3 linked regions of the Struthio camelus genome follow. The protein of the gene in region 1 purifies or fractionates together with the protein of each later gene. This does not show direct contact. Links are inferred from orthologs where the notes say so. Each region holds a gene or a part of one and is shown in the gene's direction. Other genes may lie near its edges. The genes, in order: PTPDC1, PPP2R2D and PPP2R2A.

Region 1 (10,460 bases):
GTAAATCTGCACCACAGTTAGCTGCAGAGCCTGCTTCACTGTGGACCACCGATATCCCGGTTGGCCTACTTGCTGCTGCATGGCTGAGTAGTAACTCAGCCTTTACCTGTGCAAAGAGAAGTGCTTTTATTCCAGAGGAAATCATAACATGGACAAGAGGCTACTTTGCTCCTGGAAAGAAAGTGGATGCACAAACTGAATCTCACCTGTGGTAGCACAGCATGACTATACTAGTTTCTCTGCAAGAAAGCCACCTCTCTGCATGTATGAAAGAGTGAGTAGGAGCTGACAACTACTCATCTGTTACCCAATGCAACATGTGAATCAGTGGTGCAACTAATGGGGGACAAAACCAGTATATCCCTTCTGTTAGGAACTGGTTTGCTCAAGCAAAAAAAAAGCCCTAAAAATACATACAGAGGGAAAATGAAACAAATACAAAAACACACCGGGGGGGGGGAAATAAACCTCTTGAAATATCCCCTTAGTGCTTGATACCACGATTTCAAGAGACCCTTTTTTCCTGGCACAACGTGATACTGCTGTTCACTTCAATCAGCCAATAACACAGATATTATTTTTACCGTGTGTTAGTTACACTACCTGTGTTGCTTATGCAGGCTTAATGACATTGCTTCCTGTGATAAAATACAAAGACGGAACATCACCTAAAAGACTGTTCCCTTTTTTTAAATTGTGAAACAAAGATTAAAAGAGCAGCTTCTTTGCTGTCATGGCAATAGAAATACATGTCACACAGATAACAGTGGATCTGATTAAGGTGATAAGACTGCTGCAAGGTATGTGACTCAATTCCCTCAGAGAGCTAATAAGGAACGTGACCTAGAATAACATTCCAGGCTTCTTGCTTTTTTTCTGTAGCATCTGAGAGTATCAAATGTTAACGTGATGAACAAAACGCTGAGGAGGATCTTTTAAAAACTAAAATATATGGTACACTGAAGAAATAGGAGAGAGTTGTTTCTTTTAATCAAGCACTAGTTTTAATTTTAATACTGTTTTGATCTGTATAGAAATGTAAATACCCCTCTCCAGTAACATCAACACTGAAAGTACTTCCTGTCTCAAATTATAGTATTTTGCTTCTGTCTAAGGGAGTGCAACATTATTCTATAAAGTGGTTGGTCACAATCTCTTTTTTTTCCCAGAAATAAATACAAGGGAACATTGCTCACGTTGTGGAATTCAAAATACCTGTTAGCCAGTAAATTTACAGAACTGAAAGGCACACAGACAAAATATTTAAGTCAGCTGGAACTGTACTAGTTGTATAGAAAAGGAAGTATGGATTTGCTATATCTTCTGAATAAGTTTGAGGAGAGCCTAATTCATTAAAAAGCAAATAAACACATTGTTTGCCTCTGCCATTTGGAACAATCTTGTTTGTATTTTATAATACTACAGACATTATCGTCTGCATTAATTTGCATCTTTTCCCTTTTCAGTTAAGAGATCTTGTCAACCTGAATTCTGGTTAATAAAACCAAAAAAGAATAAAATAAAAGGGAAAATAGTTTTGGATGAGAGAAGTACTCTGACATTTTGTCTCTTTTTTTTATATCACTTTCATGTGGGCAGTACAAATAAATAGGAAAACTAAACAGGCATACAGAAACATCTGTTAAATAAATAACTGACAAAAGATGTTTGCTTTGATTTACTCACTTTCAATTATCCTTATTTTATCAGTAAGTTGTAACAACACCAGGCAATGCTGTTGCAGCAGGCAACATTTTTGAATGAAGACTTTCTAGAATACAGTATTCATTCTGACAGTGTGTCCTGTAATGTACATCTGGGAGTGTTAAGTTATCTAAATCAAATTTATGTTCTTTATTCAGTATTCCAAGAAGTGCATCATACTTCATAACTCTCAAACTTTGTTAAAAAAATGTTGGTAGTTTGTAAAGTCAAATACTGCTATGTTAGAAATGCCAGATTTATAGCTTGAGTTGAAGCTTTAATTATGGCACGTTGTAGGGAAAGATCCTGGACAGAGACTTTTCAGGATATATATATACCCACATATGTATATGTGGGTATATATATATATATATATATATATGAGAGAGAGAGTGAGTGTGCTGCTGCCTATTAAGAGATTGACTTTAAAAGTGCAGAGTTGGGTGGCCAAATAGCCGAGTAGAAAACATTCCAGATACTCTTTAATCTTCATTAAGATTCATCATAATTAGTATTCTTAAGAATATACATATTTACATTAGAAATGCATTTCTTGGCATCACTGAGGTTTCAAAAGGCCACTTGCTTTCACAAACAATAACACTAGCTGCTATTCTCATTGTTTTGAGGCCACTCTATACCGATACAGCAGCGTTAAAGGGTCATTTATATGTATGTTATTCTGTCCCTAGCATAAAGCATCTTGGAAAGGACAGAGCTAAGTGTCTTTGATGTAAATGGGAATCAAGTCCACTAGCACTCTTGGAAGAATAATCTCAATTTAATCAAGTATATGGTCAGATAATGTAATATCTGAATAAATTAAATTCTATTTGAATCCATTTAAAATTATTTTTAAAAACATTACACAGAATTATAGATAAAAAAGTGGATATTGAACAACAAGCAGTTATCTCTTTTTAACGCAGCTTAGGATTGTTATACCACCTCATCCCCATAAACATTTTTTAAGCAGATCTCCTGTCCTTTAAAGCACTATGCTGCTGAATCCTAATAATGTTTTCATAGAATTTGGGATCTGAGGTTTTTCTATGTAGAAAAGTTTTACTAGTTATGCTATAGTGTAGACATTTTAGTTTGGTATAAGGATGCTTTTTTTTTTTTTTTCTTTTTTTAATAATTGCAACTATTTTTCTGTTAATGTAAGGTAAACCAAATACTGGGTAAGAATTTCCACACAAGATCCATATAAATGGTTTATTTAAACATCACTGTGATTGATTAATGTGTTCACCCTTACTGCTCTGCTTTAGCTTTCTGTTTGTCAGGTATAAGCTCTTAAGGGCAGGACTTACCTCGTATTAGAAATCACATTAAAACATGAGAAGAACTGTTTTCTGCTTAGAAAAGGTCTTGTGTTCAGATTTCTTATTACAGGTGGATCTTCACATATGTGCTTTCAAACTTGTCAACATACTAAAAACAAAGAGTGGAAGAAAGAGAATAGAGAAGGCATATTACTTGGGGGTGGTCTACTTGGAAATTATAAACTAAAATTATAAATGGTCTGATCTAGAAACAGTGCTGCCATAATGATATCGTCAGTGCCATCAAAACTGCCCTTTGCAGGATTTCAGTTCAAGATTTCCAGTCATATGTTTACCTTGAAAAATTTGAGAAAAATCAAGGTGATGTTATCTTAAATATTTTAAGTTGAGTGACTCCCGTCCATACAAAGCACAAATTATAAAGGCTATGCTCAGCTGTACTCTAGAGCTAGAAATACACAATGTGCTAAACTTCTATTGTGCTAGGACAGACTGCCAACCTGTTTTAAGATGACTGTACACCAAAAAATAACCCCCAAAACCAGTCCCTGTCTGACTGCCCAAAGAGCTTTGGACAGTTCTACCATCAGTGACAGGCACTTAGCTTTATTTTGCATTTTTGAACTTCTGCTGTAGATTTACAGTAAACATATTACTGTTTCAACAGGTACTGCAATGGCTGCAGGAGTTTTGCTGCAAAATGAACTACCGTATTCTTCATTGCTAGAGAGCAGTGTGTATCTTGCAAATATGAATTCAGGTAATCGTTTTGTCTAATATGCTATTCATAAAAAGTGCTTAGAGAAATTCTGGAAAAAATTACATTTCCATAGATAATTAAAAATAGGTATACTACTGCCAAATTAAAAGCACAAAATGTCTATGACATAAAAATGAAAACTCCATTACTTAATCATCACCACAATGTGTTAACACGCTGATCTTTTCTGTAGCTTTCATATTGTCAGGTATAACCTCTTAATCGAAAGAACTATGTCATTTTCATGTTCAGAAACTGCCTAGCTCTCCGAAGGTACAAACGAACGTTCGACAACAACAACAAAATCAAAGAAAACATTTAAACTCTTATGGGATATAATTATGACTTACTATTTTGAGTGAGTACGTGCAAATCCTACTAGATTCAATGGAAAAATAAAGGTGTGCAGCATTTTATCTTGTTCATTTCTGTCTCCACTACCATTCGGAGAAAACTCTGGAAAGAGAAAGAAATAAATCTAAGAAAGCAATGTAATTAGTTAAAAACCATTTTTCATATTCGCTGGATATAGGAAGCCCTTGAAACAGCCTTTTTCATCTTCTTCCTTCCTCTTCCACCACCCAACTCGTAACATAAAAACCCATTTAAATATTCCCTCAGCTCTTGATATCATCATTAGTGTTGAATTAGAATAGTCAGAATTTTGAGACAACAGCTAACAGAATCTCCTTTAACGTTTCCTTTTCTCATGTGACATCACTACTGGTATTTCAGGCCTAGGATCTACAGAAAGACCTTACTGTATCTTCTTAGTAGCAGGGATGCAGTATGCAAAATTCAGTCACGTGAATTCTGTTCAGTACCTGGAAGAAACAGTAGCTTTTTGCCTGATGGTTTTTTTTTTTTTTTAAATCAGAAAAGAGCTTTCTATTACAATGCAAATTCCTCTTAAGAGTTACTGACTGCTTTCACAGTACAAACATAAATGTCAAACGCAGACTCAGGATAGTATATATGCTTAAGAAAATGCAATGGGATTAATTTGCTTTTTGAGCAAAGTTAGATTTTTTCTTTTCCCTAGTCTCAGAATCTTTAACACACAGTCTAATGTACAGACAAGGGATGACAAAGTTTTTTTTAACATTGCTATAGTCTGTTCTCCATATAATTGCCAGCATGAGAATTCTGTGCTTTTGAGAACCTTGCAATCTTTCCGGCCAGCTCATTCTCCTTCTTAGCACGCTGGAAGCCAAGTGGGAGGAAAATTACCACCTAATATCTACCTTCAAAAGCTTAAAGCACTCAACTGATACATCTTCCCCTCCCCATAGTCTGCTTTATCTCAGTCTGTAGGGCTAACAGCTTTGGTTAATAAAAAAAAGCTGGGCCCTGAAAAAAGGAAGCCTTTTGTTTTGAATAACAAATTGTGTTTTGTTAGAAGATATGAATGGTCCAGAGTGAACAGTCTACAATTCATCATGTACTGAACCATTTTAGTAGGAACACACTAATCCCAATCATTACAGAGCTAATGATGCATTTTGGAGCAACTAAGTGGAGGGAGAGAGGTGGTTGTGGAATGTTAAACCAAAAGGTGGGGGAGTATAATGTTCCTACTTACGGATTTCTCAGAAAGCAGTGTCCAACTACATTTTGATTGTTCTTTTGAATATAGTATTTTGTGTCTTAGCAAATTCTGAATGTGTGTTATTTACATACTCACATTGTTTACAGAAAATGTTGTGGTTGTTCCCAGACCATTTTCAAAATTATCTACTTGAAATGCAACTATTTGCACCAGCAGCGGAACAGTTTGTCCCAAACAGAATCAGTTCATATAGCATTTAGCTGCCACAGGGATAGCTGGCATCAGTGGTTCATTGTGTGTTTCTATGGAGACAGCTCAGCCTATCCTGAAGAGCTGCCAGATCATACAGAACGATGCACAGCTCTGTGCAACTTCAGCCCTGAGCAACTTGGATTTTGTATCAGAGCGTCTTTGGCAGCCCTTCTGAACTGTAGCTGGTGTTGGGCAGTCATGCAGGGCTCACCTCGGAGGTGGTCAGCAGCGAGTATTTTTAGCAGCTTTTTCCAGGGTCGGAGGCATTCTTCCTCTGATCCCCTTCTTCGCGTTATCCAGAGGCGCCGGAGCTCAGTTGTAGAGGTACTCTCATCATCAACTCACCGGGTTATGGTGGCCGTATCATCTCTGAGCCCCGAAGAGCTGAATGCAACTTTTCCTGAAAAAAAAAGTAAAGTACTTTTCATTAAGACTGTAGGCAGTTCTGTTCTCCTGTGTGTGTTAAATTCATATACCTTTGTTCTGTCAACTATATTTTATATATATGCAGAAAATACAGATTTTAAAATATTTTTTGCTCTATTTTATATTAAATTGTGTTCACTGATTTTTTTATTCAGGGTTTAATATATGCTCTTCACTCTAACAGCTCAGCTATAGAGAACAGATAAAATAAAAGCTAGTGGTGTATGTGTGACGGTGTGCTAAGTATTTTTGTTTTCAGACAAACGATGATCATGACATTTGTTCTGTTGCAAAGGATATCACATACCTGTAAGTCCACCAGAAGATAGCAAAGTTACTGTGAGAAGAAACAACTTCTGCAGTAATTCAAACATTTTTTCCCTAAGAGTCCTTACTTTAAGTCTGTATTGAAAAATGAATCTTAAATATGTATTCCATATCTATTTATGCCATTTTTAATTTCATCAGTTTAGGATTTAACTGATAACTTCTAAGGTGGAGGTGAATTTGTAAGCTTTCCTACCAAATCTGTTTTTGCTTGTGTTCTAGGAAGTTCGAGGCGTCCAACAGCAAAATACACTAAAGTAGGCGAGCGCCTTCGCCACGTCATTCCTGGTCATATGCAGTGTTCAATGGCATGCGGCGGGCGCGCTTGCAAGTATGAAAATCCAGCTCGATGGAGTGACCAAGAGCAAGCCATTAAAGGGCTCTACTCTTCTTGGTAATATGCAGCATTTACTTTCACTACATGTAACTGCATCCATTATATTTATTAAAAGAGAAAATTCAATTAAAATAAGCTTCTACTTACTGCTTTTAAACTCAAATATTGCTAAGAAGTATAAAACAGAACGATAGGTTGATTCAGAATTACCACTTAGCAGTAAACTATAATGGCCATTTGTACGTAAGCCTGTAAAGTCAATGAACGACTTCTACTTACTTCAGTGAGTTTGGTTCCGATCCAAAAGAATACCTATCTATGATGAATTAAAAAAAATACATTTTGGGTTATAGATAATTCTTCCTAAGAATTAAAATACAAATGAATTAAAATTTGTTCATAACAGAACTCAAAAGTGAAAACATTATTGAAGATGAAATAATGTAAGGTATTTATTCAACAGAAGCACACTCATAATTAGTAATGCTCACATGAAATGCATCTTTAAATTATTACTGATTTTGGTAACAGTGGCTACTATTCAGAAGCATACGAATCTTAAAGGGTCAAACATAGGTCAGAGTCCAGGTTTCTGAGGCGTTCTCTAATGTGTTAATCAGCCTGGATTTGAAAGTTTCCAGTAATGGTCTTTTGATATGTACTAGCTGTATCCGCCGAACGGGATTTATCACTAACACTATATATGATAGTAGAATTTTTGGAAAATAAATTTTCTACTTAATCAGCAAGGTGTTTCTGTCTGTCTTGAAAATGAAATGGTGTTCTTATTTTGGTAAACTCATACCCAAGAAATTATTATAATGACATTATTGTCTACCTTTTTAATTTCTCAGGATAACAGATAACGTATTGGCTATGGCTCGACCCTCAACAGAATTAATTGAAAAGTACAACATTATCGAACAATTTGAAAGGTAAAAAATGTAGTCATTATTTACTGTAGTTATTACTCATGTAATTCCTGATCCATTTTCTCTTTCGACGTAGATTTGGATTGTTGGTAAAGATCCTTTCATTTTAACAATACACAGGTAAAGATTTATTCTCCTCTAAGAATAAATGTGTGTTTCAGAAAATAAAGGATAACGAGATTTTGGCTGCATATAATACTTTGACTCATCTGTTCCTTGCTTAAGATGTGGCATAAAAACCATAATTAACCTTCAGCGTCCTGGGGAGCATGCAAGCTGTGGGAATCCACTGGAACAAGAAAGTGGCTTCACCTACCTTCCTGAAGCTTTCATGGAGGCTGGAAGTAAGTTCACTCCCGCTGCTGTTCCTCATTAACTATTGATTTTGGCACTTGGAGGTATTTTCACTTGAATTCTTGTGTGCTAAAAGAAGCTGTACAAGAAATGTTGCACAAAAAAGGATATAAAGATGAAACTTGGCAAATATAATCGAGAGTGAATAACACATTAGCCAAGATCGTGTATCAGTAGAGTGAGAAGGAGGGTTAATATTCAGGTATTTGGAATAAAGAAAGGATGACAGCGGGTTAATTTTTTTTTCTTCTTAGTTCCCAAATATATAAAATATTAACTGTACTTCAGATTCTGGTACAACGCATATTTTCTTATTAGACTATAAAATGGTCGTTCCTTTGATTTGAGAACATTTGTATTGAAAATATTTTTGTATTTTCATATTGCAGTGAGATGAGAAGAATTGCCTCTGTCTAAGAAACAGCTTTTAACTGAAAAAGTGCTTTTATTGCTTAAAAAAAAATAAAAATTATGCTCTAGCTAGATATAGCTCAGTAATTTTAGTATGAATCACTCTTTTTTTTTTTTTTACACCATTTACATTCCAGCTGAACTGTAGTTTGACAAATCTTTACTATTTTTATGTATTTATCAAATTTTCATAGCAAGAGTACTTTGAAACGTGAAACTAATCTCTTTCAAACAGTATGTAGTCAGATTATTCTAAGATGCTTTATGCTGTTTTAGTATTATCATTAATTATTGGCCATCTCTGCTCTCCATATAATAGTAAAAATTTCACATTTGGTACAACTGAAAATAATTCTCTCTCTCTCTTTATTTTAGTCTATTTTTATAATTTTGGATGGAAGGATTACGGAGTGGCATCTCTCACAACTATACTTGATATGGTAAAAGTAATGGCTTTTGCCTTACAGGAAGGAAGGGTAGCTGTTCACTGTCATGCAGGACTTGGTCGGACAGGTATGTATCCTCTACTCCAAAAGTCAACAGCTTTCAATCAAACAGTATTTTTAAAGATGCAAAAAAGTCTCTGGTTGTATATTATTATTCATTTTTTTAAATTCTGGATCACTGGAAGATGTACATCTATAGGGTGGTTAAAAAAGCTAAACAAATGTCTATGCGAAAATAATCCATCACAGGCAGGAAGAGATTGGTTTTAGTAGACCAAACCCAACAACCTATAAAGTTGGAAAATCTTTGAATCTATGTAATAATTCCCTGTTGTATTCAAATGGGACAGCTTCCTTTTGATGGGAAAAACTCACTTAGTACACTTTCATTTTTGAATATACTTATTACACGTTTCCCCTTACAAACCTACCACTGATTGTTAGATCAAGTAGATTTTTGTGAAGCAGCTGAAATTTCATTTACTTCTGGCTCTTTCAAGACCTATCTGGTTGCCCGAGTCCTTCCTGTAGAAGCCAGCATTGCTTCTGATTTCGTGTTGGTGTTCAAAAATGCTGCAACTGCTAGAGATGCTGTGGTAAGAAATTAGCTCTTGTTAAAAGTGTAGTGAGAACGGCTTTACTGTCTTGCAGACGAACAAATGCAACTATACTTACATAACAACAGCATCACATAACAAAGGGTGTAAAACCTGTTATCTTTACCTGTATTCATTTTTGTCCTGTAGTAGTTCTTTACTGAATATTCACTGTAATCTGATAGTTCTTCAGCTAATAGCTGTCTTATATTTTCCAGGTGTTCTAATAGCCTGCTACTTAGTTTTCGCAACAAGAATGACTGCTGATCAAGCAATTCTTTTTGTTAGAGCAAAAAGGCCTAATTCCATTCAGACTAGAGGGCAGTTGTTATGCATCAGAGAATTCACTCAGTTTTTGATTCCTCTGAGAAATGTATTTGCTTGCTGTGAGCCCAAGGCACACACAGTGACACTATCTCAGTACCTGACACGTCAGAGACATCTGCTCCACGGATATGAGAGCAGGCATCTCAAACACGTGCCAAAACTTATTCATCTAGTTTGCAAACTGTTGCTAGACTTGGCTGAAAACAGACAAGTGATAGAGGCAGAACTGTTAGATATACCAGATCTCTCAGCTGAAATTGAAGAGGCTGTTTCTCAGTTGGTCTCTACACAGCTAGATAAAGAACTAGAAAGACAGGACAGCGATACATCTGACTCGTTCTCCCAAACCCACTCAGCTACTTTTGAGACCCGGGATGCTCTTTTCTCCCTGGCACATGCATATGATCCTCTTTGGAAAAGAAGGAATCCCGAATGCCTTCAGCCGCTCACTCATGTGAAAAGGCGTCTAAGCTATAGCGAGTCAGATTTAAGGACAACTGAGTTTCTCGTAGAACAAGGAGAAACCGCATGGACTGTACCCACTCAGATATTACTGCACAACAAACTTCAGCAGAACAGTGGCGAGGAGTGCTCTGCTGCAGGTGGACAAAAGCCTGTGTTGGATTTAAACAAAGAAATCTTAGTGCGTAATACGTGTACATTCTGGAGTCAAGGTAAATTTAATTTGGATGGACGAAAAGATGGATCCTCACTTCATCATAGAAGGAAATCTACCAAAGAAGTACAACG
Region 2 (10,178 bases), on another chromosome or scaffold:
GGGATGAAGGATTGGAAAGTCTGAACTATCCTTCATTCGAAGATACAGAGGATAGAAACAGTCAGATAGGAAATGGAAGACAAACTCACTGAACTAGGTTACCAAGAAAAGAGGCAACAGTTGTACCTGGGGAAACTGGAACGCTTAGCTTTTAAAGAGCTCGGCTGCGGAGGCACACACCGAAGCTTTGCCGAATGAAGACAAACAGCGGAACGCTTCAGCGCCACAACGAAAAAGACGCAGGAAAAGAACAGGCCACGCTGGTGGCGAAGCAGTGCTAAAGCAAGCATAGAATAAAATGAAGTTAACAAGCCAGCTATCGCAATGAGCGCACACAGAAGTTACAAGCCAAAACATGAAGGCTATAGCACCGATCAAAAGTTCCTGCCTGCCTGCCAGGACAGCGGCAATGCTGACTGCACTACACCAAAGCGTATCCGAGAGTAGAAAATGCAAGGGTAAGGAGAATCATAATTTTCCCAATCTACATGGAGGTAAGGGCCATATCAGGAGATAATCCTCAAAACTAATCCCAGGTGCTACCAACTACTGTTTCATGAAACAGCTAGTTAGCCCGCAACACAAGATGCGATCCCTGGCTCAGTCCCCAGTAACATGCAAGACTTCACTTCAAATCTTACAGTTGAAAAGTGACATGTAATATAGCAACTCTAATACTGTTCAGTCTCCCTACAAGACCCACAAAGACTTAAAATCCATTAAAATTTATGATCAACTTTATAAAGGCAGACTAAAAAAACAAGCTTGTTAGAAGTAGTCTGTGAGGCAACCAAGAGTTAAACCTCTCTTAGGTTGGAAGACGGCTACTTAATTCAACGCACAATGTTCACAGCCAAAGCATACCACCTCTTAGAAAGGCTTGGAAAAAGGCAGGAGAAAGCCAGCATAGCTGAACAGTGTGCTGACAAGGGAGATGTTTGGATAGAAGAAGGTATCCTTTAAAAAGCTCAAGTAATGACCAAATGAGCATGGATCAAACTTCAGGAGACTAAACGCAAAATGCAATAAGGCAGGCCAAAAAGAAAAAATAGCGAGGAAACAGAAGGAATCCAATTATAAATTATAATAATACAATTCTGTTTCTGTCTAGCTAAAGTTTTTCCCCTGTAACGCCAGAAAGCAATTACTGGATCACAGCACGAAAAACACAATAGAGCAGACATTTTCTTCAGTCAGGAGGTGATTCAGCTATCAAAGTGGGGTGGGGTTTTTCTGCGCTATTTTAGGAAAAAAACACTGCTTTTAATTATCTAAAGCTAAGGCTTCCAAGGTTCATTCATCATGACTGGCACCTGCAGCAAAGGTATCTGCAGTTCTCTTTCTTTTTTCCCCTATTCTTTCCTTTTCAAGAACAGCACAAAAGGTGTGAAGTTCATGTGCAGCCAATAATACTGGAAGGTAAGCAGGACAAGAAGTTGTGGCTAGCTAGGGCATGTTTTGCATTTGCAGCATCAAACAGTGAGCAAAGCATATGTCATCATCCCTTCCCTCCTACAAAAGCTACCCAAAATATAAAAAGGAAGAGTGCTGCAGCAGCCAAACTAAAACTGAGAAAAAAAGGTGGTGCTGCTTCTTCCTGAAAGAGCTCCCCTTGCCAGTGAAGCAAATCAGCTGGGGGATAGGCTGGCAGGAGCGGCTGCAACACAGCATGGGAACTTCCGCCCAAGCACGGGACGCACAGGCTGGCAGCAGCTGGGGAGGGCAACGGTGCTGGCTAGAGCACCCGTGTTTGGGGAAAGCAGGAAGCCAGGATAAAAGTTGAACTATAAGTTTTAGGACATCAAGGCTGGATGAGGAGAAAGGGGCTTTAGTGATGCTTGGATTAAAGGACTCTTTGGTAAAGCAAAATAGTCTAAATTATAATATTTGGGAGACATCAGGGTTTGTATAGCTCATGGTTTTGGGAAAGAGGTAAGAGAAGGCATTCCTGTACGCAGGCAGTGGTGGGAAAGATAAGGAGGGCGGACAATTCCTGTAATTAAAGAAAGTTCAATCTGAAGTTTAAGTACTACTAGCCTGAAGTTTGGAATACTTTCATGGGCCGTGTTGATAAACGCATTTTTTTAAAAAATGCAGGTAATAAGGCTAAATACAGGGCTAATAAAATAAAACTAACTCACTAGTTTACTAACTTCTTTCTTTGAAATTTGGAAAAGAGATAAAAAACTATGCAAAAAAATCTTTTTTTTCCACCTAAGAATAATCAGATGTTTTTATGTCAATTAGTACCTAATATGCATCTGTTAGTGAAGTGTGATATCTTATGACACCCAGCTGTCTTTCACTGTATGATAAATGCCATTTCTATGGCTTGCACTGCATTTTTTGAAAATACAAACATACTTTCAGCATGCTTTATTTTCAGAGCGATAGTTATGAAAGAGCAGTATCAAACCCCCAGTGGGGCTCAGGGCTTTGTTTAATCATAAACAGATAATGGGAAATGAGATGAGAAGAACAACTGCTGATGAGTTGGCAACAACATTTCACACCGCATATGTCAGGGGGCATCAAGCAACTGGCTAGGCAAGATACTATTTCAAGAAAACATTTGGAAACATCTCTGTCAGTAGCTTTTCTTGCTAAGTGTGGCAAGAGCAAAGCGTCACTTTCTCCTAAGTGTAACTCTTAAATATGTTACGCTAAACCATTAATCTAAAAATGGCTAATGCAAACACACAGTGCTTTAATTCTGAGAATTATATAAAAATACTACACCCTCCTCTCATCCTATCGCTTGTATAATAACCACTGCCACGAGGCTCCTGTGCATAGTCCAATACCAATACATAGATAGCTGAGCACTGGAAAACATTTTTCAGCAGTTTGATACAAGCGATGAATGCTAGAGTTTTGTAATTCTGGAAAGCATTCCCCAGCCCGTAATATGCAGCCCTCACCTTTTTACCAAAAAACATGACATATACATCTATTTTCAGGTGGAAGCAAGTGAGCAGAGTAACATTTAAGAACATCTCCCATAAATGTCAGAGAATTTTAAACAACTTCATAGACTGCAAACCAACCAGTGGATCGTGAGTGGCTGAATCTTTTTTGAATTTGAGTTCCAAGCTTTAGAAAGCTTACGAGAACTAACTAGTTCCTTGATTTTATGGGATATATTCTTTGAATATAATTAAAAAGAAAGGTATATCCTGCAGAGATATTTTTAACTTTTTTTTTAAATCTTCCTAAATTCCTACGAAGTCTTTTAAAAAAATTCCTGTTCATAAAACCCACACATTAGAATACGAACAAACGTATGCATCCATTTCAGGACGCTAACTAAATTATCAGCTATTTTTATTCCAATCTTCTGATTAGTAGGATATCCTCAAAACAAATTTACCTATGTCAACATTTAAATTAGCTCTCAAATTATGCATACTCATTAATTTACATGAGTTTATGGCATCTAGTTCTCTACAAAAATACATCAGCACACAAAACCTCCAACGCATAGACGTCCAAAAATACTAAGCTAATTAACACAACGTTATATCAGACACTGAGAATCACTGTGGTCAGAAGGGACCTCTGGAGATCATTTAGCCCATGCCCCTGCTTAAAGCAGGGTCACTTTCAAAGTTAGACCTGGCTGCTTAGGGCCTTGCCCAGTCAAGAATTTTTCCAAGGATGGGGATTTCACCACCTCTCTGGCTCCTGGTTCCAGTGTTAGATTGCCCTCCTGAGAAGAACTTTTTTCTTGCATCTAATCTGAATTTCCCTTCCCGCAGCTTGTATCAGTTGACTTTTGTCCTTTGACTCCGCACCACTGAGAAGCATCTGTCCTCTATCTTCTCTACAATCACTCATAAGGCAGTTGAGGACGTCCAAAGCATAGGCACAAGAGCTATCCAACCAACTTTTCTTTTTAAACCATCTTACCATTATAGCTCGCCATAACAACAATAAGACACATAAAATAGGCTATAAACTGTCCCAGTAAAAATACTGATTTTTCACTGATTTTTTGAATTAGCTTTTAAATTGCTCAACAATGCCTAGAAGCTCAGGTCACAGACCTGAATCATGACAAGTAGCTATCATCAAGATTTAAGCAGATTCAAGCCGACAGTGTGACATAAGGTTTTCACTCTCAGTTCAATAATGGAATGAAGCCAGTGTTAACTTCAAGCTGAAATGCCCTTGTGCTTTGAAATCTCTAGTCTGTGATTGAGCTGTATCTATTCAGGTCACAGCATACACAAGTTTTAACTTTTAGTTAAATATGTTTTTATTGGTAATACAAATAAAAGCATCAAGACTGAGTTCCTTTAAACAAAGTTAATACCATTTGGATTTACATTAATGATATACCACATCTCCTTATCTATAGAGTTTTCATACAATATTGTGCCTACCACAGTCTTCATCTTTTAATGCAAAAGTTTCAGGTATCCATAAAATTATAACACAGATATAACATTAATTTCACCTATAAACGTATTTGGATAATCATTATGGGCTGAATGTGCAAGGCAGTCAGAAAACAGAGTCAACTTTCAACAGGTAAGAAATAGTTTTCATAAGAACAGAACTTGTCCAAGAAGTTCTCTCCAGCCCAGAAACTTAATCACAAACAAAAAGCAACTAATAGCCACTTGCCATAAGAGATCACTTTCCTACCCCCACAAATAAACTCTGAGACCCTTAAGTTGAATGCAAAAATATCTTTTTGCAAATCAGTCTCTTTATCAACCACAAAATTAGTCCAGGCTTTGAAGTCACTTTCTGAGGGCCTTGCAGGTGGAAAACTTGTCCACACAGGAGTTAAGGAAAAATAACAAACTAATTTAGATTTCTTCATGCTATTTAGGCTTTAGGGGTTAAAAACTGCATTTTCACAGCTTTCAGTGTGTATACTAGTTTAGAAAAAACAGGTAACGTAAGAAGCCAAAACTAAATGGAGCACCAGTAATATTCATTATTTACAGGACAGAAGAACGCATCTTCAAAGAGAAGCCAGAAAGGGATTCTCACTAAAATCAGGAATTTTAGAGTTCTGCCACATCAAGTGCGCACAGTTATACTCTCTTTAGGAGAGGCCAGATGCGTTTGCTGACACCACCACAGCTGAAAGCATCACAAACCTGACTCCAGAAGGCCAGACGGGGACAGACCTCAGGGGCTGCTGCGCCAGCACATGGCTCAACCCGGCGTTCTCCCAAGCGGCCGGCCGCCTTCACTGCGCGGGCAGAGACACGCGCTCCCTGCGTCCCGTTTTGTTTTCTGGAGGCTCTTCCCAATCTGAGGAGCTGACCTCCACCATCCCAACGCCCTCGCTTCACCCTAACGAAGCGGATCATCCATAACCCAACGGCTTTAGAAGAACCTGCGACCCCTGGGCCAAAAACTACATGCCGCCATTCAGCCGTGACAGAAACCTACCCCTACATACGCCTTTATTTCCTAAGCTGCTTCCAACCTAAGCCCCCTTATCCTTTTCTTTCCTCCTGTTCAAGGAAGCTGATGCTGCTCCTCTCCGGTGCGGCCTTTCATAGCCCTTTTCATTAGGAGACCGGCGCTTTCCAGGTCCGTAGGCCCCTTCCCCAGCGCACCGGAGCGCGGCTTCAGCCCTCCTTCCTTCACCTCGCCCAGCCACGGATCTGCCATCTCACTGGCAGAGGAACCTAAAGAAATGATATGTATGCGTTTAAAACAGAAGTTCTCGTGTTCAACAACAACGTTACTTCCCAGCCCTGAGGACCTCGGCGCCGCCTGCAGCGCCTGCCCCTCCGCAGAAAGCCGCGATTCCTAACGGTAGTTTATAACCCCGAACCCCTCTGTGTGTTGGGGGGGGGTGCGTGGCGGGGGGGCGGCGGAGGTCACATTTCACGACGGGAGGATCCCGTTTCTGAGGGAGAGCGGCGATTCTGAGGCAACTCGTGATTTTTCCAGCCGTCGGTCGCAAGCGCCTTCTCAGGCATCGGGGCTTCCAACCGCCTCCCCCCCCCCCAAGCCGCCGCGCTGGCGACGAGCAGCAGGATCGCCCCAAGAGTTGCCGGCGGCCGCCGGAACCGGGGCAGCCCGGCAGCGCCGGGTGCTTTCCGTCACGGCCGCCGGGGACGGGGTCGGGGACGGAGCCGCGCCCGCCGCCGCCGCCGCCTCAGCCCCGCGCTCGCCCCCGCCCTGCGGGCAGCCGGGCGATGACGTCACCGGATCAGGCCGACCGGCAATGGGCGCCATTTTGAAACGCCGAGCCCTGCAGCGGCGGCAGCTCCGTGCGGCGGCGGCCCCGACCCGCTCCCGGCCGGCGCCTGCCCCCCGCGGCCCCCCGCCTCACCGGCACCGCGCGACATGGCAGGTGAGGAGGGCCGCGCCGCGCCGCCCGGCCCGCGCTGCTGCTGCCGCCGGTGCGGGCAGGGCAGGGCAGGGCAGGGCGGCAGGCCGCGCCGCGCGGACGCGGGCAGCGCGGCCCTGCGCCGGGGCGGCGGGGCTGAGGGGCGCGGCCTGCGCCGGGGCTGGGGCCGGGCCGCGGCTGGGGGCGGCGGGCTCCCTTCACCGAGCTCTTTCCCTTCCCCAGGGGTGGCAGGAGGCGGCGGCAACGATTTCCAGTGGTGCTTCTCCCAGGTGAAGGGGGCTATCGACGAGGACGTGGCGGAAGGTAAGGGCGGCGCCGCCGCGGGCCGAGCCGGGCTGGGCCGGGGGGCCGCGGAGCCGAGGCGGGGGGCGGCCCAGCGGCAGCCGCGCTGCCCTCCCCGCCCGAGGCTCGCGGGACGGGGCGCACCTGGCCGTGACTAAGCTGGTGCCCGCGCCCCGCTCAGGGCAGCATCCCCGAGCAGGCGGGGGGGCTTCCTCCCGGCCGGCAGTCCCTGGGGAGAAGGAGTAACGACGGGGACTAACTGCAAAGGGGGAGGGGGGGAGGAGGAAACCGACCGCACAAATGGAGTCTGTCAGGCTTGCCGAGTTTCGCTCTGAAGCAAGGAGAGAGTGCGTGGCTCCGTCGTGTGGGCTTAACTTAAAAAGTAGGGTTTAAAGGCTCTGGCAGCTGTGAATGGATTTTATTCCTAGTCGTTAGCCTGTGGAAGCTGCCAATAAGGTATTTAAGTAGGAAAAACAGGCACACCTTAACGTTTCTCTGGAACCTACGAAGTGCAACGTGCTTTGGCATGAGTAGAAAACAAGAAATGTTTTACTTGGAAGAAGTATTTTTGTAGTGTGTAGAATTGACACGTGAAGCTCTGCTGGAGTTTGATGAGAACGTTCTCCTTTTTTTCTAAATTTTCCGTGTTTAAACTGTTCAAGTTGGAAATACTTCACTCTTTTCTACACAATATGTGTGTGAAACAGCGTTCTGTGGTATTTATTTAGACTTTTACTATATTAACTGACATTACTTACAATAAAATAAAATACAATAAAAAGTTAAGTTACTTATAGTCTCTGTGTGTGGTCGTCTTGGATTGTAGATTTTTTTGCTGGATGCGGTAAATGTTTTCTCTTACTGTCTACTATAGAGAAATTATTCTGACAGTGTTTTCATTTCCCTGCCACTTGTTTTGACATTCCATTCAAAATAATAGCTATGGGAGGAATAGACTTGGAAACCACTTGAGGAACTAGTGTTCAGTTGAGGTGGTTGTTTTCTTCCCCCCACCCCCCTTTTTTTTCTAAATAGATTTTGAGACGTAATATTATTTTGAAGTTTCCAGATTGCTTATGTAATGAGTTAAGTGGCTTTTATGACTTTCCAAAATGGTCCTTCTGTCTTAATATCTCTCACCTATATTGCTTAAAAGTCGGTTCTCCATGTTAGAATAAATATACTTCTCTGAGCACCTTACTTCCCGGTTACTGCTGAGCAACATGAATTTGTGTAGAGTCAGAAAGCTTCTGCTTTTTGAAACACCAGTGTCTTAAACCCCGTCAGTTAGCAAAGTGTGTAACAGCACTGTTCGGAGAAAAGAAACTTGTGTTACTGAAGAGATGAGTCACAGAGACTGATGAGTTTCTTAGGTTAAAGAGGTGAAAGCTCTATGTTTTGAAAAGTTATGGGGAAAATAGTGCCTCTGGTGTTCAACGATTTTTCTGGGATTTACTCTTGAGTTCTTAGACTTCTTCTGGAGTGAGGGCTGCAGATTATGTGAGGTTATTACGTGTAATTCCATTTACTTCATAGGGCAACTAATGTATGTAATCAGTCAGTGTGTGGTTTTGCAGAATTGGTACTAGGGTTTTGTTTTCCTTCTGGAATATCAGAATCAGTTGTAGTCTTAGTGACTCGCTGTCTATATTCCATTTTTGTTCTTTTCTTCCCTCTATTAGTTTTTGCCTTGAAATAGGAATTAAATGTGGAAACCACACAAAGCTGGTATGTTCATAATTGCCAGAATTTGACTCTGCAATATGCAATAAGAACATGATTCCATTGCTAGATTTTTGCCTTGTTACTGAGATATTGACTAGAACCACTGTGAATTCTGTCTTTTTCTGTCAGCTTGCTATTTTTGTAATTTTATTTCTGTGATTTGGGAAAAAAAATAGCCCTATAAAGGAAGGAAATCTGAAAATGACAACATAAAGTAGCTGTTAAATGCATTAAATACAGACTTTTTGTTTAATGTTCGTATAGACGGTTTATCTAGTGGTTAAAATTACGAAGCCTGACATTTGGACTTAACTAAACTTAACTAAAAAGGTCTCTTCCTTCTGAACTGTTATTCTTGAATACATTTTATACTCAGCAATTGTTTTTCAGAGGTACTGCTTTGATGGAAATATTAGCATGGCTATGACAAATTGATGCCCTTAGATTTGCAACTGCCATCTGCATTCTGAAGATTTTTTCTAAGTAGGTCGTTAATATAGAAAATTACTTTGTCTCTTCTTTGTGTTTTCTGTGTATTGAACCAGTAATCTAGTTATTTAAACACAGCATTGAATAGATTTCAAAGAAGAACAGTGTTTGACATAGCCAGATTGGTCACCTAAAGAGATGAGTAAAATGTATCAGTTATTGAAATATGCAGTTTTTAAAGCAGAAAACTTTGGCTGGATTCAAGGAGCAGGACTAGGGGGGAAAAACAGTTATTGAATGAAATAACTGGTATTGAAAATGGTAACAAATTTCATTTGACCTTGCTTGTGCAGAGGGGTTGGACTAGATGATTTCCAGAGGTCCCTTCCAACCTCAACTGTTCTGTGATTCATTTTAAAAAAAAAAAAAAAAAAAGTAAACTTGTGTTGTAATTATTGTTTGTATAAAAGCATGTGAATACAAACACAATGCTCATAGCCTGTGGAACTTGGGATTGTTATTCTTGGATTACCTATTTTGGTAGAAAGTAGCATTCTAAGTACAGGCTTCAATTTTTTTTTTTTTTTAATGCTGTCTCAGACCTAGTTAGTTTTGTGATTTCGGTGTTTTATCCAATTTGGTCCACATGTTCAAAAAAGTTCTGGTTTTGTGGGTGGGGGAAGGTTGGCAAGCAAAATATCAAACGGTTACCGTTACTTAATGCACGAATATGCCCAAATCCTCTGGGCCAGATGTTCTGCATATAATCTGTAACTACTTCTGGACATAATTAACAACGTGTGTGTGTGCACGCGCACTTGCCCCTGTGTGGGGCTTCTTGGTTTTATAGCGTGCACTGTAAGTCTTCCTAATTATCTTGTGCTATTGACAAGTTGGAAATTCTTGTCAGAACATGAAGCTGTATACTGTGGAGATCTTAGATTTCCTACTGTTGATATTGTAGTTTCTTTGGGTTTTGGTTTTAAACAGCTCCCCCCCTCCACCTTCCCCCAAACGATCTTTATGGGTTTTTGGTTTGTGATGAACTTCTGTAAGTGCTGTTTTAATTCAGTACTGATTAAATATATCTTCCTGTCTCAGATGTGAACAGTTTTAAGAGTGTGATTACCCCACTAAATAAAACGGGTAAAGACTTCAGCTAATGAAGTTCCCCAGATGAAAGCAGTACTTGTTTCAAGTGCTATATTTGAATTTTTTTTGAAGCAGCTGAGTCTGAAGCCTGGTCCTGCGAATAATTGCGGGACATGGTGCTCTTCCTTTGCAGTAGAGAAGAGATGCTGTGAAATCCTGTTCATTAACTTAAGGATGCACCTTTGTAAGGTATTTCATAAGAAAAGAACTCTTTCTCTACCAAAAAGGTTGTAATTGACTTTAAGAGTAGTTGTGCTGTTGTTGG
Region 3 (10,732 bases), on another chromosome or scaffold:
AGCCTAATTAGTTTTTCTGTTTGCTTGCACCAGGCTAAAGTAAGGGTGGTGAAAAAGCCTCGGTTCCTGAAAGATGACATTGGATTTAAGCTCTGCTATTATAAGGGGAAGCCTCAATGAACTTTATGCTTTTGAGATGACATAAGCTACTTGTTTACCTCAATTAGTGAACTCTTTTTCCATAGGTTTGTTCAGTGATGAGTAGTTTAGGGTACTCAGTTACAGAGCCATTAGATGTTATTGCTAAATTATTTTGCTTGGGAAAGGGCTCTCTAGAAAATTGCTGGCCGTTGCACACTGAACTGAAAGTTATGTACCGTCCTTGTCTGGGTTTTCTTTTTTTTTTTTCTTTTACACCAGCGGTAATATTTATACTAAACTGCTCAGTGACTATTCAGGAGAAGATTAAATTTTAGCCCTCTTCTGAGCACTTACTCAATAGTTTAGATACTCAGGACTACTAGAAACTTAAATTTCAGTTTGCCCTTTCCAAATATAAGTCAGTGACTTCAGTGGCCCCTGCTCACTAGGGCACTTTCAAAACATGCTGTTGTAGTACTCAGGTTTAGGAGGGTGAGGCAGGACTGGAAATGCTTAAACCTTTGTTTATACCTCAGTTATGGCTGAATTTCTCTGGTCCCTGGAAAGGGAGATTTTTGGGACGATACAAGTGGCATCTGCTCAAAGTGAACTCGGGTCAAAGGAAGCTTGACTGACAGAAAAAGCAAATGAAAGCTCCATATGTCCGCAGAAGACTTCACGGTATGCTAGTTGGCTCACTGCAAATAACATAAAGCTCCTACCTGCTCAAGGGAGGTCGGCACTGGCGTAACTCACAGAGGTTAGATGGGTTGGGACTTGCACCAAATGCAGTTCACCCTGTGAGTCTGCCTGTCTAAAATTCATTACAGGTTCAGGGTCTGTCTGACCTTTTGTTAAGCATGAGCTTCCATCTGCCAGTATTAAGACATGATTCAGCACTGTTTTGATAATGGTTCTTAATTAAGTGGCTGCATACATAGAGATAATTATGTGAAATTAAGAACAGGGAAACACAGACCAAATACTAGCAAACCTTTTCTAAGTGTAAAGCCTGCTAGGCTGTGAAATGTTCTTTCCCGAAAAGCAATGGAAATCTCTGAGACACTTCAAGCTAGAGAGTATGAAGTGCAGAAGAGTATGCTGTAGGGAATTACATTGCACTGATGTTAACCTTCATGTGGCCTAAGACAGCTCAGCTATTACTAATTTCTAGTGATAATTTTGGTGATAATTACTCCCTTTATTTCTAAACTGAATTGTTGTAATTCATTATAATCTTGTCTAACAGGTCAAATTACTAGGAAACTAAGGCAGATACAAAATGAGTTGCTGATAGAGTTCTTTCTTGGGCCTTAATCGTTTGATCAGTGATTCAACACGAATATATTTTTATTGGCTACCAGTTGCATTTCACATTTTGCTTTAGGTTGTTCTGACTTCTACAGCTCCTGTTTTGCGCTGCTGTGAATGGATCACTCACTAGCCTTTTAACAAATCCATCGGAAATGCTTTTCTGTTATTTTAATCTCCTGGAGATTCTCCTTAGTCTAAGTTGAAGCGTCTATAGAGCAAGAATTAGTGATAAAAACATAATTGGGATAGATAAATGTTTAGTAAAGCTTTGTGCTTTGGTGGTTGTATATAAATTTAACATACTACAGTTACTATCTCCCCAGAGCACCTGAACAAATGCTTAAAATATGGTTAAATCAAAGGGAGATAAGTATGTGCTTACAAACTTTTTAAAATCAGAGCTGCAAAATACACTCTTGCTAATTTGCACTAACCATTAGTACTAGTGTGAATACTTGCATTGTCTGAATTAACAAGCAAGTGAACACCCAGGCAAAGATCGGGACTCCCAAGATGTTTCACTAATTACCATGGCTGTGATTTAATGATAAGTATTTATTATACTTCTATAGCTCAGCTTGTTCAAAACAAAAACCTGAAATGTTGGAATTATGAGCCTTCATTCTGGCTCCATGGTATTAAATCTTTTTTAAGAGGGATTTGGTTCTAATTATAAGGTATATACTAAAGCTTCATTAATTTGCATTACAGAACTAATTGTAGGCTTTTTTTGGCAACAGAAGTTCTTGAAACAATGTTAATTCTACTAGGAGGGCCAAATTCTGGAGTAATAGCACTGAAGGCAGTGGATTAATTTCCCTGTCTGCAAATTTTCCTGCTAAAAGGTTGTGGGACGCTTCTGTTTAGGGCTGAGAAGGATGCTCTGAAGGTATCCTGAAACAAGAAGACTACCAGCTTTTATTTAGAATTTGAGATTGACTGAATTTGGCCAAAAACTTGTAGGATTGAGTGCGTATGGTCCTGAGCTTCGGGAAATGTGCACCTGGCTGATAAGGGAAGGCCATTAACAATGTAGTGATCAAAAAACAGCCTACCTTGATTATGAATATTTTCAAACTTTCAGTGTATTTGCTTTTAGATTTCTAGATTGCTCTCAAAATGGACTAAGCAAAATACTTGGTTTCAGATATTCCCCAATTTAGAGGAGTTGCCATTTTTTTAGACTGTCCCATTATGTTTTGAGTGCTTTTCAAACAATACTGTATCATCATTTCCAAGAACTATTTTATTCACACATGCAGTCCCTTGAGGAACATAGAGATAAAGCTGCATTTGTCCAAAGTGGCCTTTAATCTGGGGCAGTTCTGGGTTTCCGGTATTTACCCTCCGACAGGGGGAGGCTGACTGTATCGGTGTGTTCATACAGAGGCGTTCAGTTCCCACAGCGCTGTGTTTTGCGCTGTACTCGACCAGGAATTGAATGGTCTTGCATTTTAAGAAAAGCCTCTTAGGTGTTTTGAGCTAGAAATGCAAAATCACTGTACGTGATGACTTAGGAAGACCTGTCTGAAGGCACGTTGCGAGTTTGTGGCTGTGCTGGGTTTGCAGTATGAGCTCATGAATCTCAAAGTGAAACCTGGATCAGCAAGCCCTACCCCGCCTGAGAAGAAAGAAAACGTTTGCGCAAACGCCTCTGAAGGGAAACTGATGACTTCCACAAGATCCTAAATAGATTGCACTGAATCAATTCGCTGAGTCCTGCATGTTAACTGCCGCTGAGACTTCAACCGGGACCCGTTGAGCTAAAAAGGCGCCTTCTTCCCTTCGGAGCCAGCAGGAGTTGTGCCAAGCGGGCTCGGCTGGAAGCCTTCCTTTGTAGATCTCGGTGGCTGTCAGCGTGAAAGGTGGATGGAGGCTAAAAATGGCTCCGAAGCACGGCTGGGTGCGCGCAGGGAATAGCAATGAGAGCGACCAAGATGCGCCGGGGTTCTCGAGCGAAACCGGAGACCGAGCGGGCGGACAAAATGGAAAGCGTCCAAGAGGGCGGGAAAGGCGCCTCGAAGAGGTGGTGAGGCCGCGGCGGAGGCCCCGCTGGGTGAGGAAATGTCACGAGAAGGAAGCAAGGGAGTGGATGCGGGGGGGGGGGGGAAGCCGAGCGCTACGAGGGAGATCCAGTGGAAGAGTAAAACGCAGGGCGGCCTGGAAAGCACCCCGGCGAGCAGGTAGGCGACGGCAACCGGGGCCTGCCGGGGCAGCGCCTCCCCCCCGCCGCCGCCGCCGCTGGAGGCCGCGCCGCGCCGCCCTGCCCTGCCCTACGGGGGGCGGCGAGGGACCCGCCGCCCCGCCCCCTCCGGAGCGCCGCCCTCTCTGCCGGGTGACGTCACCCCCAGCTCGGCCGGCGCCATTTTGAAAGTGGAGCCGTTGGGGGGGGAGGGGGGGCCGGAGCGAGGCGCGGAGCGGGGGCAGCCCGAGGAAGCGGAGCCGGCCGCACCCCCCGCCGCCGCCATCCGCCGCCATCCGCCCCCCGCCGCCGCCCCCCGCCCGGCACCGGCGGCGCCGCCGCGTAGCGCCGAGACCGCCCGACCCGCCGCGGCCGCTATCACGAGCCCAACATGGCAGGTAAGGGGAGGCTGCCCCCGCGGGGCACCGGCCCCTGCCGCCGCCGCCGCCGCCGCCGGGCGGGGGGCGCAGGTGAGGCTGCGGCAGCGGCCGGGCTGCCGGCGGCGCCGCCTCCCGCCGCGGCTCGCCCGGTTCCTGGGCGGCTCGGGCTGCGCCTGGCGCCCTGCTCTGCCGCCCCCCGCCGCGGCCGCCGGCTGCCGGCCGGCTCGCTCGCTGCCCTCGCCCCGCGTTCCCAGTCCGCCTCGCCTGCGCGCTCCGGGTTTTGTTTTTTTTTTCCTTCCCCCCTCCACCCTTCTCCTGGGAAATCTGCCTTCCTCCCACCCATCCCTCCTTCCTTTTTCTCCCTTATTGCAGAAAAAAAAAAATTTGCATGGAAGAAGCAAGGTGGAGGGGCTGGGATGGGGGGAGTGGTGTATTTTGAAGTTCAGCGTGCAGCAGGCTTGCAGGCAGGGTGGGTCTTTTGCCATATATATATAAATATATATATATAATAGTTTTTCTGAATCTGTAAGTGCTCTGGTATGTTGCATTTCTTTCCCATGGAGTTAGTGAGGACTGGGCAGAGGCGCTGCTGTGCACGGAAGGGTGTTTCAGGGTGCAGACGTGCTCGTGTCGAGAGTACAATTGCAGCCTTCTGTAGGGCGCAGCTTTCAAATCATCTGCAAATGAGTGCAAAATGGGGCACAGGATGTACTTGGATAATACAAGTCTTCCTCTGTTTTCTTTCTCATTCCTTTCTGTGCTTGTTCCCCGTTTTGCATCCTGCTTTATTTTGCATCCTGGAGTGCTCTTGGTAGGGTAGAAGAGCGTATGCATGAGGTATCTCTTCCGTCTTACTTTTCGTTGTAATTTCCTCCCTTGAAAATGTATTCATCCCCCTCCTCTGCAAATGAGTTGCCTTTTTGGTGCTTTGCATTTGGAGGAGCAAGCATGGGGGCTCTGGCAGGTTGATGCTTTGCCTTGTCCCCCTACACCCATGCCTATGCTCCACCCTCTTTTTTTGTTTTAGTCAAAAAAAATGCAGATTTAAATCAAGTAAATCGTATAAAAAATGAAATTTTGATCTTTTGTAGAAAGAGCAGTGATTTCTCTTGTAAGCTGTCCCCTTTAAATGCTTCCATGGTGTCAGCTGCTAAATGACAAATGAAGAGAGTAGGGAGGGGAAGGAGAATAGGTTGCACAAGTTCAGGGGAATGAGAGAGAAATGTGTGGTATACCTTTCCAACGTATCTGCATAAAGCTTTTTGACATCTCTTGCATAGCTAGATGCTTGTACTTCCCTTCACCTTGTCAGGTTATATAGTTTGCTTGTCTATAATCCTTCAGAAAAACTAAGGCAAGCGAAAAATGCAAGCCACAGTCTGTATTCCAGTGCTTCTCTTGCTCTTCTGTGGCATTTGCTCTTCTGTGGAAAGATTATTTTGTGGCTTCTGATTTCCATGTCTTTTAACACTTTTTTCCCCCTTAGCTTAGCGTAGAAGAGGGAAGAAGTATCTTTTGTGTTCTTTGTTGCCCAAAAGTGATGATAAACTTCTGGATTAATGTGTAAATGCCATCTGTTGCTCAGCCTCTTTGCATTGTGTGTCGAGAAAAAGTTCCATTTTGACAGGCGGTTTCAAAGAGGAAAAAAAAAAAAGGCAAGTCCATTTCAGTCTCTTCCTGTATGTACTCAGCCCAGCAGTGATTTGCTCAGAATGCAATGCAAAAGAAATGGGTGGTGGTTTTTTTTGTGTGTTTTGGTGGCAGGGTTCAAATGAATCGCTGCCTTCCGCAGAGGCAGCAATGTTCCTGAAGTTTTCTCTTCGATCCGTTTTCTATGGTAGTAGAACTTGTTAACATGAGATTGCTCGTTTGCTTTGCTGCTCAATTTGCTGCTTTTTTCCCCTCCTCTTTTAAAGGCTGATAATTACTTTCAGTTCTTCTGTGAAGAGACTTTAAATTGTGGAAATTGTGGTAACTTTTTTCTTTAGCCTTTAGTACATAGGTCCAGTTAAATATTTTTGTTAAAGAAGAAAATGAATAACACAATTGGCTTATATTAAAAGATTAGAATGTTCTGAAAAATGTAGAGCTGTTCTGGCAGTTACTGTTTAAGTTGTTTGTGTTTCTCTCTATAGAGTTCTCCTCTCTAAAGCAGGAAGAAGCTTCGTGTGAAATAGGATGTTGATGCACTTGTGTTTTTAATGCAAAGTTTAAGTTAGCACCAGCAGTGTAGCATAGTTTTGCAAGCTTTCGGTGCATGAGGCTTTTATCGTTCCTACTGCTTATGCTGTTTTTGACAAATGTTGCATTGGCCATTGGCAAGTGACTAATGACAAAAACAATATCTGTAAAGGAAAAAGGTGGGGAGGGGCAATTTGTAATTGTGCCGACAGCACAGCTGAGGAAGTAGGTGTGTACAGTGTTGCCTGAACATTTCAATTGGTAACTAGCAGTGTGTTCTCTGTGTCGCTGCAGGGGTCTCATTTTTTTTTTTTTTGATTGTCTTTTAGGAGCTGGAGGAGGAAATGACATTCAGTGGTGTTTTTCTCAGGTGAAAGGCGCTGTAGATGATGATGTAGCAGAAGGTAAGAACAATTTTTATTACTGCTAATTTTTTTTCTGACTTCCTTATCACTACTCCTTAGGCAGGAAGATTTGAATGCGATCTTGCTAAAATATCTCAGTTCTATTGTGTGTAATTTTAGCAAAGTAGACAGACAGTTAATGTACATTCAGATGCCTTAAGCCAGGATCAAAATCTGATGGTTTGTGAGTATTGTTTTGCACACTTTTAGCAGGGCTGAATTCCAGCTTCCTGAGTATTTTGCTGGAAATGTTTGTTTCCAGAATTATTGATCGAATTTTCCTGTCACTCAGCTTTTGGTTTGTGTTTTTTTCCCAATCTGCAAAATGGGGAATGTGATACTCGCATTCCACAGGGAGGTGTTGTGAGAATTAATTAATGTTTGTACTCTTTGAAGATCTAAGTGTTAGATAAAGATCAAGTAATTTTCCCAATCTTTCTAGCTTCCATTAACCAGGAGAGGATGAAATCTGAATATTTCTGCATGCTTACTCTTTTTAAAAAAAAATAAGGTTCTGTGTCGGAGGAGATGCTGGAAACTGCCGAAAAAGTTTTGTAAGCTAGGGATCCTAATGCTGGCAGTGACAAATGTCATCTTATACTAAGATGGCTGCCTCTGATTGTGACTGCAAAAATTCTACTTGTTTTTATTTATTTATTTTTTTACTTGGCTCAAGCATCATTAGAGGAGTTGTACTTTCCCTCTATATTGCTCTGATGGCTGTGCTAGAGAAAAAAATTTTCTCTGATCTTTCTTTGGGAAAGTCCCACTGACTTCTAAATTTCTTTGGCCGTAAGGACCTGTTTGCACAACATAGCCTCTAAGATCATGAGTTAAAGTTTTTCTTTTGCAAGCAATGGGCTTTGTCACCTGCAATTCTGGAGAGGGTGAGGATTATAGCTATCCTGAATGCTTGTACAGACAAGCGAGATGTATGTTGTATTTGGAAAAGCAGTAGCTAGAGTTCCCATTATTTTCACATTTGACATGTGGTTCAGTTAACTTCTAAAGGCCGAAAACTCAATATAAATGTAAGCGTCTTGTTTTTGTTTATGAGCTTCAGCATGTGGAAAATGATGCACTTTCAAAGACTGTCATTCACAAATTGAAAGATGGATTTTTTTGGAAGCAAGCAAGCTGTAACTTTTTTTTAAGGATGGATTAATCTTAAATTGTTCAAGAAGTATATTTTAAAGCTTGAACTCAAAACTACTATTAAATGTAGTATATATTTTTCCCTGCCAGATTTTAAATTGTCATTTTTATTTTAATTGTATATCAAACTAAGTCCTTAAGTACAAAAATTGAGGAAATTGTGGCCAGTGCTTGCAAATAATTCTTCATTGAAATAGACATGCGACATGTGACATGCGCATAATAGTGATGGGTGTTTTTACATATATGTTTGTGATATAGGGATCTGAAAATCCAGTTGGGAAATGTCTGTCCTGAACACCATTAGCTGTTCTGAAGTATTGTAGATTTGAAAGAAGACTTGCTAGCCTTATGCTTTCTGACACAGTTTAGCATCTGCACTATATATTGGTGGAGTCATAGTGGGTGGAGTTCAGGGAAGCCTTCACTGTGAGTGAATTAAGTAGTTTCAGTTTCAGCAAGCCAGTCGCAGGATGGCTTACAAAAAAGGAAGAATGTCCATTTTTCATCATATGGGAGACGTAGACTTCTGACTTTGCCACCCAAGGAACAAAGAAAAGTCTGATTTCATAATCAGCTGTGATTAACTTAGGATGAGTGCTAAGGCACAACCCCAAAAGCATGACATTTTGCAATTTAAATACCTAGAACCTGGTGTGAGGTCCCTAAAAGGGTGTTATGCTTGGTTGTAATGAATTTGTTGAGCTGGAATTTTCTCCTTTTCCTGTGTGTTTGGCTCCCACAACGCATACTAGAAACTGTTGAGAACCAGCTGTCTAAGTAAAAATGCATCTTTTAGCTTCCATGAGATCCTTAGAATTCCTGTTATGCTTTATAATGTCTCCCTGTAATACTGTTGAAATGGTTGATAAATGTATCAAGCTGAGACTTTTATACTTTTCCTTTTATTAGCTATATTTCTGGTTTTAAGGTTCTCTTTATGGAAATGAAGCCTTTTGTGGGGTTTTGTTTACTTTTTACAAAATTGGAATAGCAGTTATGCATGCTTCTGGTCCTCCTCCTTCAAAATGCCCAAGGACAAGTTCACAGTGGCTCTAAGTCTAGTCTGACCTTTTTTCTCCCTGCCTTTCTGTCTTCTTTCTTGTGGCAGGCACCATGGTGAAAACAAAAGAAAATCCTGCTGTCTGAAACTTACGTGATTCTCTTAACTGCTGTGGTCTGCAAGCTAACAAGTGTGGACTCTAATCCGATGTCTGTGACTACTGAGGATAATGCCAATTTATGTAGGGTAGTACCTAGGGTGTGGATTGGGGGGTTTTAAGTGGTTGGAGAGCTCAAATTAAAAAACTGTGGAATACTGAAACTTGACTAAAAACAAGGTGAAGAAAACAAGGCTGAAAGAGAAGGGAGAGGCATGTTTCATTTTCTGTCTTCCTATTAGTAATACAATGTTGCAATATTTATATTGGAAATTCTTCTTTGCATAAAAACAGTCTCAGTTAAACTCAAGCTATCTTCAGATTTACCACGCTGATTAAGCTTTACGGGTAAACTTTTTCTTCCTCTAAATCTAGCTTATTGGTTTATTTTGTACCTCTGCATAAACTAAACTAGTATATGTCAGCCAAGAAAATGGCATAATTTAATTGCATTAATCAATATAATGTAAAACCAGTAATCTCTCTGCAATGTTGCCTATAATACAGGCCAATGGAGGATAATTCTTTTAATAAAAATAATAGCAACAACAATTTTTAGTGTGGTAAGAATGCTAGTGCCCAGCTGTCAGTAGATTTGAGGTCAGATTTGACCTTGTCACCTTCACGTAATACGTACAACCTACAATTCTTAAGATATTTAGGCTAGAATGGCTGTCTACTAGAAAGATGATATTTGGTGGTTTAGATGGGTGAAGCATAATTTTTTTTCTCCTGGTTTTTCTAAGCACTGTGTGGTAGATGGATGTGATAAAATGTTTCTTTTATTGCTAATGAGGATGGAAGAGAAAGAGCTGTTCCTAAAGCTTGAGAAGATGGCAATGACTTTACATTCAGGGCCTGCCTGTGTCATTCTACTATAGCAAGCTTTGCTAAGGAATATGGATGTGTGAGGAATAAAGAATTGGCCTCTCTGTAGTATAGACAGTTTCTCCTTGGTTGTAAGCTGTGGCCTGGCCCTATCAGGTCACAAAGTTAATCACAGAAATCAAGTTATAAACTGAGTTTTGAGTGTCGGCTTAATATGGTTGGGCTCCTTTATTTTAACTGATGGCAAAAGGTTGTGCTTTTTGTCATGTAGCAGTCCATTGTGTAAGGGCAATGAGGGGTGTGGCATGTACTACCTCTGTTTCTGAAGTGGCTGATTCTTTGCATGCTCAGTAGAAGTTTTCCTCCCTCTTCACCTTCACGTTTGTCTGGCTAGAACCCAATCTTAAAACGTTTCTGTGCTCAACTTGTAGGTTCCATCTACTCTGGAGAGTTCAGAACCAGGACACTAGATTAAACAAGACTTCTCCCGTGGAGAAAACGCAGAAAGTCATTGTCCTTGATAAGTTCAGTGATCAGGGCATAAAAAGCATCAGTAAACAGTTGCTACTTTTTTTCTTTTTTTGTGTCATCATTGTTTCTGTGCAAGTAGGACTTAACTGTTCAGAAATGCTCTAGAGCTGATATTACCATGTTTTCTTAGAAGTTTCCTCTATGGGAGGATGATTACAGAGATTTTTCTACAGTAACTTTGTTATAGGGATTGTTTTGGGTGTGGGGGGGGAGGGGTTGTTTTTTGCTTTTTTGCTGTTATATTCTCTAAGATGTGACAACTCCAATTGGAAACAACCAAGAACTGTGAATTTGAACACTCCCTGAAAGCTAGACACTTGCTTAATGGAACAACTTTGTTCTTCAAAACAAATTAAGTCAAATTTGTTTAATTACTTGGCAGAAGGAAAAGAATCAAGCTGCTGTATCTAAATGCTCTTTCAAGTGTAATCTAAAGATATGTAAAAGTTTGATAGATTGTGTCCAAGGCTGTGAGCCAGGAACTTAAGTCCTAAGCTTCAACCCTGAGTGATTACC

The links.
Region 2: the proteins of PTPDC1 (region 1) and PPP2R2D purify together in Homo sapiens (affinity purification with mass spectrometry; 5 studies listed by BioGRID and IntAct, counting the BioPlex papers as one, with this or other methods). This does not show direct contact. The link is inferred for Struthio camelus from reciprocal best matches to the Homo sapiens genes PTPDC1 and PPP2R2D.
Region 3: the proteins of PTPDC1 (region 1) and PPP2R2A purify together in Homo sapiens (affinity purification with mass spectrometry; 4 studies listed by BioGRID and IntAct, counting the BioPlex papers as one, with this or other methods). This does not show direct contact. The link is inferred for Struthio camelus from reciprocal best matches to the Homo sapiens genes PTPDC1 and PPP2R2A.

The regions. Positions count from the first base shown.
Region 1 is NC_090955.1:18,605,627-18,616,086, forward strand, and holds the start of PTPDC1 (protein tyrosine phosphatase domain-containing protein 1), read left to right. Parts: upstream 1-5,512; 5' UTR 5,513-5,752; coding exon 5,753-5,966; intron 5,967-6,529; coding exon 6,530-6,701; intron 6,702-7,498; coding exon 7,499-7,579; intron 7,580-7,801; coding exon 7,802-7,920; exon of another isoform or gene 7,921-8,009; intron 8,010-8,716; coding exon 8,717-8,854; intron 8,855-9,218; exon of another isoform or gene 9,219-9,593; intron 9,594-9,601; coding exon 9,602-10,460. UniProt on the Homo sapiens protein: May play roles in cilia formation and/or maintenance.
Region 2 is NC_090948.1:1,115,927-1,126,104, reverse strand, and holds the start of PPP2R2D (serine/threonine-protein phosphatase 2A 55 kDa regulatory subunit B delta isoform), read left to right. Parts: upstream 1-6,175; 5' UTR 6,176-6,321; coding exon 6,322-6,328; intron 6,329-6,547; coding exon 6,548-6,628; intron 6,629-10,178. UniProt on the Homo sapiens protein: Substrate-recognition subunit of protein phosphatase 2A (PP2A) that plays a key role in cell cycle by controlling mitosis entry and exit. Involved in chromosome clustering during late mitosis by mediating dephosphorylation of MKI67.
Region 3 is NC_090968.1:4,339,653-4,350,384, reverse strand, and holds the start of PPP2R2A (serine/threonine-protein phosphatase 2A 55 kDa regulatory subunit B alpha isoform), read left to right. Parts: upstream 1-5,742; 5' UTR 5,743-5,757; coding exon 5,758-5,794; intron 5,795-6,467; coding exon 6,468-6,542; intron 6,543-8,808; exon of another isoform or gene 8,809-8,907; coding exon of another isoform or gene 8,908-8,946; intron 8,947-10,732. UniProt on the Homo sapiens protein: Substrate-recognition subunit of protein phosphatase 2A (PP2A) that plays a key role in cell cycle by controlling mitosis entry and exit. Involved in chromosome clustering during late mitosis by mediating dephosphorylation of MKI67.